2 linked regions of the Xenopus tropicalis genome follow. The protein of the gene in region 1 interacts with the protein of each later gene in a biochemical or structural test. Links are inferred from orthologs where the notes say so. Each region holds a gene or a part of one and is shown in the gene's direction. Other genes may lie near its edges. The genes, in order: map3k2 and smyd3.

The links.
Region 2: the proteins of map3k2 (region 1) and smyd3 are reported together in a solved structure, tested with the Homo sapiens proteins (2 studies listed by BioGRID and IntAct, with this or other methods). The link is inferred for Xenopus tropicalis from reciprocal best matches to the Homo sapiens genes MAP3K2 and SMYD3.

What each region holds. Positions count from the first base shown.
Region 1 is NC_030685.2:86,477,245-86,481,798, forward strand, and holds the start of map3k2 (mitogen-activated protein kinase kinase kinase 2), read left to right. Parts: upstream 1-1,590; 5' UTR 1,591-1,956; intron 1,957-4,554. UniProt on the Homo sapiens protein: Component of a protein kinase signal transduction cascade. Regulates the JNK and ERK5 pathways by phosphorylating and activating MAP2K5 and MAP2K7. Plays a role in caveolae kiss-and-run dynamics.
Region 2 is NC_030681.2:51,485,390-51,489,692, forward strand, and holds the start of smyd3 (histone-lysine N-methyltransferase SMYD3), read left to right. Parts: upstream 1-1,485; 5' UTR 1,486-1,628; coding exon 1,629-1,670; intron 1,671-1,684; exon of another isoform or gene 1,685-1,742; intron 1,743-3,589; coding exon 3,590-3,765; intron 3,766-4,303. UniProt on the Homo sapiens protein: Histone methyltransferase. Specifically methylates 'Lys-4' of histone H3, inducing di- and tri-methylation, but not monomethylation. Also methylates 'Lys-5' of histone H4.

The sequences.
Region 1 (4,554 bases):
TGCTGAGAGAGATTGTCATGTTCTCACAAATATGTATGTACAGTATGTATTTATACCTGCCAGAGTTAAAGGGGGTTCTGTGCCTTTATATGGGGGGCACAGAACCCCTCAGTGACTGCTAATAGCCTTATCATTTACAGTAGGGGGTACATTATCCCTTATAATACATGAGTGATACTCAGAGTTCCCTGTATAACTCAGCCTGCAGCCTTGTGCCTTTATATGGGCACAGAACCCCTCAGTGACTGCTAATATCCTTATCATTTACAGTAGGGGGTACATTATCCCTTATAATACATGAGTGATACTCAGAGTTCCCTGTATAACTCAGCCTGCAGCCTTGTGCCTTTATATGGGGGGCACAGAACCCCTCAGTGACTGCTAATATCCTTATCATTTACAGTAGGGGGTACATTATCCTTATAATACATGAGTGATACTCAGAGTTCCCTGTATAACTCAGCCTGCAGCCTTGTGCCTTTATATGGGGGGCACAGAACCCCTCAGTGACTGCTAATATCCTTATCATTTACAGTAGGGGGTACATTATCCCTTATAATACATGAGTGATACTCAGAGTTCCCTGTATAACTCAGCCTGCAGCCTTGTGCCTTTATATGGGGGGCACAGAACCCCTCAGTGACTGCTAATATCCTTATCATTTACAGTAGGGGGGTACATTATCCCTTATAATACATGAGTGATACTCAGAGTTCCCTGTATAACTCAGCCTGCAGCCTTGTGCCTTTATATGGGCACAGAACCCCTCAGTGACTGCTAATAGCCTTATCATTTACAGTAGGGGGTACATTATCCCTTATAATACATGAGTGATACTCAGAGTTCCCTGTATAACTCAGCCTGCAGCCTTGTGCCTTTATATGGGGGGCACAGAACCCCTCAGTGACTGCTAATATCCTTATCATTTACAGTAGGGGGTACATTATCCTTATAATACATGAGTGATACTCAGAGTTCCCTGTATAACTCAGCCTGCAGCCTTGTGCCTTTATATGGGGGGCACAGAACCCCTCAGTGACTGCTAATATCCTTATCATTTACAGTAGGGGGTACATTATCCCTTATAATACATGAGTGATACTCAGAGTTCCCTGTATAACTCAGCCTGCAGCCTTGTGCCTTTATATGGGGGGCACAGAACCCCTTAATGTTGTCTATTAACAACTTGACATTATTTCCTTGAATAAAACCTTTATGAGACAAACTCCATGGAATGGAAGAGAAGGGCCACCCCGGTCTAACGCGGTATAAGGCGACACTGATATACTACAAGTGATACATTATCAACCGAATGTGTTTTTTTATTCCACATTTCTATGAAAATTAAACACGAGCAAAACCCCCTCACAAGTAGGGAACTCTATCACTTTAAATCTGAACGCTCAGCTTCCGCATCTCCGTGAGCTTCACAACTACAACTCCCAGAATTCCGTCGTTGAGAGTTTACGCAAGCCAATCGAATTGCGCATGTGCTTGAGCCATCCCCTGTTGAAATGACAGACAAGGCTGTGGGCCAATAAGCTGAAAGTTTTGTCTCTAGGCGATGACAGCCGTGCTCCTCCCCTTTATTGACGCCTCCGTGCTTGTCTCTGCTGGCGCTAGCCCCTCCCCCCTGTGACGTGCGCGTACTCGGTCCCGTAGTCCCAGGTTCACACGCTCGGTTTGGTTCCGTCGCTCCTTATTAATTAACCCTTACGCCGCGGCTGCCTTTTCGTAAGCGGAGCAGTTACGGGGCCTGTGCAAGTTCCGAGGGTTCCGGGATGGCCGCCATTTTGTGAAGAGCGGGCCCAGTTCGGAATAACACTGCCGCCGCTGCCCCCGGGCCTGTGACCCCCCGCCCCCCCCGGGAGGAACAGGCTGGGGGCGGGGGATTGCTGGAGTCGGAGCTGCAAGGGCTTCTGGGAAGTACAACCGGGCCCCCGGCTCAGCTGACAGGTATAAGGGCCACACATTCATTTTAAAGGGGGCTGCAGGCTTTGGGGGGGTTGTGTTGGGGGGCTATTAGTGTTTATGGAACTCTGAGGGGGGGGGAATTCATTGGGGGCTGTTATGGGGGAGGGACAACTGTAAAGGGGGGGTGCTATGGGCATTACAGGGGGGCTATATGATGTATTGGGGCTGGGGAGCAATGTCTGAGGGTGTCATGGGGGGGCAAGTGTGGCTAATATTTGTGTTTGCCATGGGAATCAGCTGCTATCTGCTACATTGTGTCAGCAGTCACAGCCAGCAGTGCAGCAGTCAGAAGCAATTGCCTTGGCAAGTACATTAAACCCACAGAGAATGAGGGAAGAAAGTGTATGGTGATTGGAATGGTATTTTCTCTTATTATACAGAATAGGGGAGCTACTTACATATAATATAAACCCAATAGGGCTGTTCTGCCCCCAATAAGGGGTAATTATATCTTAGTTGGGATCAAGTACAGGTACTGTTTTATTATTACAGAGAAAAGGGAATCATTTAACCATGAAATAAACCCAATAGGGCTGTTCTGCCCCCAATAAGGGGTAATTATATCTTAGTTGGGATCAAGTACAGGTACTGTTTTATTATTACAGAGAAAAGGGAATCATTTAACCATTAAATAAACCCAATAGGGCTGTTCTGCCCCAATAAGGGGTAATTATATCTTAGTTGGGATCAAGTACAGGTACTGTTTTATTATTACAGAGAAAAGGGAATCATTTAACCATTAAATAAACCCAATAGGGCTGTTCTGCCCCAATAAGGGGTAATTATATCTTAGTTGGGATCAAGTACAGGTACTGTTTTATTATTACAGAGAAAAGGGAATCATTTAACCATTAAATAAACCCAATAGGGCTGTTCTGCCCCAATAAGGGTAATTATATCTTAGTTGGGATCAAGTACAGGTACTGTTTTATTATTACTGAGAAAAGGGAATCATTTAACCATTAAATAAACCCAATAGGGCTGTTCTGCCCCCAATAAGGGGTAATTATATCTTAGTTGGGATCAAGTACAGGTACTGTTTTATTATTACAGAGAAAAGGGAATCATTTAACCATGAAATAAACCCAATAGGGCTGTTCTGCCCCCAATAAGGGGAAATTATATCTTATTTGGGATCAAGTACAGGTACTGTTTTATTATTACAGAGAAAAGGGAATCATTTTTAAAAATTAGAATTATTTGCTTATAATGGAGTCTATAGGAGATGACACTTCCGTAATTCTGAGCTTTCTGGATAACGGGTTTCCAGATAATGGCTCCCATACCTGTACTAAGGCTTTATAGTCGCTGTTGCAGAGATACATTGACCGGAAGATCTCATAAACTCATCAGATTTAGTAGCGCCCGACAGGATCTGGTGTTGTTGCACGCAGTGTAGCTCAGCCCTAAGGGGATCAGTCAGGGACGGGGGAGATTCCTGGGAGCTGATCCAGCAAGTCATGCAATCCAGTGGTGTAAATTAGCTGCTTGTTTCTGGTGGGGGGGCTAGAAGCATTGACGGATAGGGGCTGTGCAGTAAGTCACTAAACTTGCTCTCATTTTTAGGCAACTAGATTTTCCAGCTTCTCCAGTTGCAGCCTGTACAGGTCCAAACAGATATGGTTTGGGAAGGGCAATTGTTTGGCCCCGTGCTATGGTCACTGCTCTGCAGAGGAACTAGGGATGCACCAAATACACTATTTCTGGGTCGTGCTTGCTTAAATTTGTTTTACTTTGTGTTTATGTGGCCAAAAGGCACATGATTTTAAGGATTTGGTTCAACCAGGCCATATCCGAATCCTGCATAAAAAGGCAGAATCTTGGCCGAATCCTGGATTTGGTGCATCCCTAATAGGAACACTAAGACGGCCTCTAAAATCAGCCTGGATAGGGTGCTGGTAACCACCTGTAAGTAAAGGAATACAGATATGGGATCTTGTATGCGGAAACCCATTATCCAGATGAATTCCGTTCTGAATTACGGAAAGGCCATCTCCCATTGACTCCATTATAAGCAAATAAATTCAGAATTTTAAAAGTGATTTCCTTTTCTCTGTAATAATAAAACAGTACCTGTACTTGATCCCAACTAAGATATAATTACCCCTTATTGGGGGCAGAACAGCCCTATTGGGTTTATTTCATGGTTAAATGATTCCCTTTTCTCTGTAATAATAAAACAGTACCTGTACTTGATCCCAACTAAGATATAATTACCCCTTATTGGGGCAGAACAGCCCTATTGGGTTTATTTCATGGTTAAATGATTCCCTTTTCTCTGTAATAATAAAACAGTACCTGTACTTGATCCCAACTAAGATATAATTACCCCTTATTGGGGGCAGAACAGCCCTATTGGGTTTATTTCATGGTTAAATGATTCCCTTTTCTCTGTAATAATAAAACAGTACCTGTACTTGATCCCAACTAAGATATAATTACCCCTTATTGGGGGCAGAACAGCCCTATTGGGTTTATTTCATGGTTAAATGACTCCATTTTCTCTGTAATAATAAAACAGTACCTGTACTTGATCCCAACTAAGATATAATTACCCCTTATTGGGGGCAGAACAATCCT
Region 2 (4,303 bases), on another chromosome or scaffold:
ATGGCTACGAAAAACTCGCGTTTTTTTGCGCAAATCGTATTGGTAATGAAAAAGTAACGAAAAGTTGTAAAGGCGCCGAAAAAAATCGCAAAAAATACGAAAAAGTCGCAAAATGTTTGTTTTCCAATCGGAATTTTTCGGATTCGTGGGTTAGTAAATGTGCCCCTTAGTTTTGAAATGCCCCACTGCTGTGACGTCACTTCCAGTAGTGACATAGCAATTGCAAGTTGCTTGCCAGTGGCATCTTCCACTTTGGTGGTTCTGTTCGGTTTTCCTACATTCTTTTATTTGCTACCGGTCTTCCTCATTTTATTCCTGGTGCTCAGAGGAATCGGTCTATTCGATTCTGCGGTATTCTTTATTTGCATCTCCTTCACCTCCTGGTTAGAAGAGATCGCTTGATTCAGTGCTGCAGCAATCCTTTGCTCATCGCATCTCCTTCACTTTGTGGTCCCTCGCTGATTTGAGGTCTGTTATTTGGGGTACCACTTGTGTGGTACTGTGATGGGTATTTATTTTATTTGAGCAGTGCATACAGCGTGGCCACAAGTCTGGGGTCTACTATTACTTTCAGCACATTCAGCATACAGATCTGGGGTCTACTATTACTACATACCTCCCAACAAAATTAAAAAGAGGATAATGTACGTGAACCCTGGATAGAGGCTCAGCCTGAGTCAAACCCTACTATATAATCCCAAACACAGGAATCAAATAGGCTCCCTAACAGCTGCAAAGCCTTGTCCAAGCCTGCCCATATTGCATCGATTGGTAATCTATTTAACTCTCTCAATGTCATGTACTATCTCTGTGGTCATAACACTATATAACTCAATGTATTGTTAACAAAATAAAAACCTTTAAAAATAAATAAATTTAAAAGCGGGACAAAAGAATATGCCGCACTGAGAGTGTCAAAATGTTTTGACCACACCCATATTACAACCCCCCCCTTTTCCATGGTTGGAATGGCAGCATCACATGTACCAAGTGCACTAGTGTTTTAAGCACTTTCTAGCCAAAAAGTGTTTGTTAGGTACACAAAAGACTTAGAGAAAAGGGCCACAGTCATATTTTTGTTATACTTTGTATAACAGCTGCTAAATATATTGGCACTATATAAACAGATTATACATCATTTCCCACAGTATATACCTTATATACCTTTCTTCCCAAGGTCTTTGCTTTTATTTCCTTTCCTTACCCCTTTGTTTTCTCTTCTTCCAGTATTTTTGTTATGTGATTTTCCTTCATTTACAAGATATGCTTTTCACTTGCATTTTTCTTTTGCTTTAACTATATTTTATGGCTCAGCCAGATCCCCACCATGTGTATGTAAATACACCAAATTGTAAGTGGGGGATAATATATAAGGCAGAGTTTGAAGAGTAAAGGGTTAAAGTGCACACAAAGTAGATAATGAAAGACTGCTTATCTCTAGCAGTACATCCCTTCATTCCTGCAGGGACTACAGCACACAGCAAAGCTCAGCCCAGCACTGGCCACACTTCCCCGTTCCAGACCAGCTGCTGCAGAAATCCAGCCCCCTTTTTCCCTAGCCATGTGAGCAAGCACAGCCAATGGGGAAATCCAGCCCCTTTCCCTAGCCATGTGAGCAAGCACAGCCAATGAGAATCTTCGAAACGCGGAGAAGCATCTGTATTTTACTTGTAAGTAACTGTAGGAATTCGGCAGTGCTGAAGAAGTCTAATCCTATCAGTACACAGAGCAGGGGGCTGCAGGTCTGGGGTCTGCTGCTACTGTTATTGCAATTACAATCAGTACATTCTGCGGGAGCCACATGTGTGGGGTTTGCTATTACTATTAGTACATATTGGGGAGCCACGGGTTTGGGGTCTGTTATTATTGCACAGAGCCGGGGTCACAGGTTGGGGGTCTGCTAATCCTATCAGTAAATAGAGTGGCGGGGCCACAGGTCTGGGATCTGCTGTTACTATTAGCACATTCAGTGGGGGCCAGGGGTTTGGGGTCTGCTGTTACTATTATTGCATAGAGCCAGAGTCACAGGTTGGGTGTCTGCTAATCCTATCAGTAAATAGAGTGGCGGGGCCACAGGTCTGGGATCTGCTGTTACTAATATTGCATAGAGCGGAGGGTGGGGTCACAGGTCTGGGGTCTATTACTATTATTACATACATTGGGGGCCACAGGTCTGGGGTCTGCTAATCCAACATAGAGCAGGGGGTCACAGGTCTGGGGTCTGCTATTACAGGCCGCACATTTAGCATACATTGGGGGAGCAACAGATCTGGGGTCTACTATTACTATTATTGCATAGAGCGGGGGGCCACGGGACTCGGGTTCTGCTGTTACTGTTAGCGCATTCAGTGGTGGTCCTCAGGTCTGGGGTTTGCTGTTACTATTATTACATACGTTAGGGGGCCACAGGCTGTTGGTCAACAGTTACTATGATTGCATAGAGCGTGGGGGTGTCTCAGGTCTGGGCTCTTCAAATCCTATCAGTATATAAAGCGGGGGGGCAACAGGTCTGGGGTCTAATAATCACAATAGTACATAGAGTGGGGGCCACAGGTCTACTATTAGCTCATTCAGTGCCACAGTTCTGGGATCGACTATTACTATTATTGCATAGAGCGGAGGGCCACAGGTCTGGGGTCTGCTATCATAATCAGTACATTACAATTATGCATTAGGGAGGGGGGCACAGGGGTCTGGGGTCTACTATTATTACATAGAGCACAGGTCTGGGGTCTGCTGTTACTATAATTGCATAAAGCGGGGGGGAGGTCACAGATCTGGGGTCTGCTATTACTATTATTACAAACTTTAGAGGTCCACAGGCCTGGGGTCAACTATTTAGTGAGGAGGTCACAGGTCTGGGGCCTGCTCTTATTATTATTACTACATACATTGGGGGGCCACAGGTATGAGGTCTGCTATAACTATTAGCACATTCAGTGGGGAGCTACAGGTCTGGGGTCTGTTATTACTATTGCATACGTTGTGGGGCCATACGTCTAGGATCTGCTAATCCAATCAGTACATAGAGCAGGAGGGCCACAGGTCTGAGGTTTGCTATTACTTTCAACACATTCAGCATACACTGCAGGGGACGACAAATATGGGGTCTACTATTACTATGAGTGGGTCTGGGGTCGACTATTATTGCATAGAGTGGGGGGTGGGGACATAGGTCTTGGCTCTGCTATTCCTTTCAGTACATAGAGAGGGGGTCTGGTCTGGGGTCTGCTATTACTATTAGCACATGCAGTGGGGAGCCACAGGTCTGGGGTCTGTTGTTATTATTATTGCATAGAGCGGTGGGGGCTCTGCTATTACTATCAGCACATTCAGTATACATTGATCTGGGGTCTACTATTATTGCATAGAGACTACAGGCTACAGCAATATTTCAGAGCGCAGAGATTGGGGAAAGGTGAGCAAAAGAGGTCTTACAGCATTTACAGAAGAGGTTTCTTGCTCTGCTGGAAAGAACTAAAGTTTTTGTCTGAACTCAGGGACACTGCGCAGGCTAGTGTACACCTCTCAATTTGCCACGCTTTCCATGCAGCTAATGACACACAAGTGCTGTTTATCTCATTTGCAGTGTGCAATAGTTGACAACATGATGTCGGGAATTCTGGAGAAGTTCCAAAGCCCAGGGAAGGGTAATGGAGTTCGGGCACTTAAGGATATGAGCCATGGATTAACGGTGATGATTGCTGAGCCCTACGTATATACTGTGTGCCGGATAAAGACTGCGTGCGATCACTGTCTTCACAGGTACAATAGCTTTCACTGATTTTCTAAGCCTCTGCCTATTTAGCAGCATCACTCGATTCGCAGAAAGAAGTGCCCAATCAGAAAAACCAAGAATTGCAATAACCTAGTGGCAGTGTCGCAGATTGTGCTTTCTTATATTGACACATGATTCTTCCAGCCAATCTGCATGTCTTGTGAATGACACTGGTATGACGGGGTAAAACACTTCTATGCATCAACTGCTGCTTTTTGATAGGGCTGCTTTTATCATTGTATAATGGTAACTTGCTAATTGTAGTGATAGTGTGAAGAATGAAAGACAGGGAAGGGTGGTACTGTTTGTAGCATGGGACACTGTCACCCTTAGTAGCTGATTTTTCCTAAGTGCTGCATACATAATGGAAGCTGTATCAGTTCCCTAGAGTTTAAAAATGATAACCTAGACACTTGCATTATTATTATTGCCTTTAAAGGAACAATTCAGTCTAATAAAGAACCTGGGTAAAATAGATAGATTGCACAATTTACAAAATATTTCTTATATAATTAGTTGGGCAAA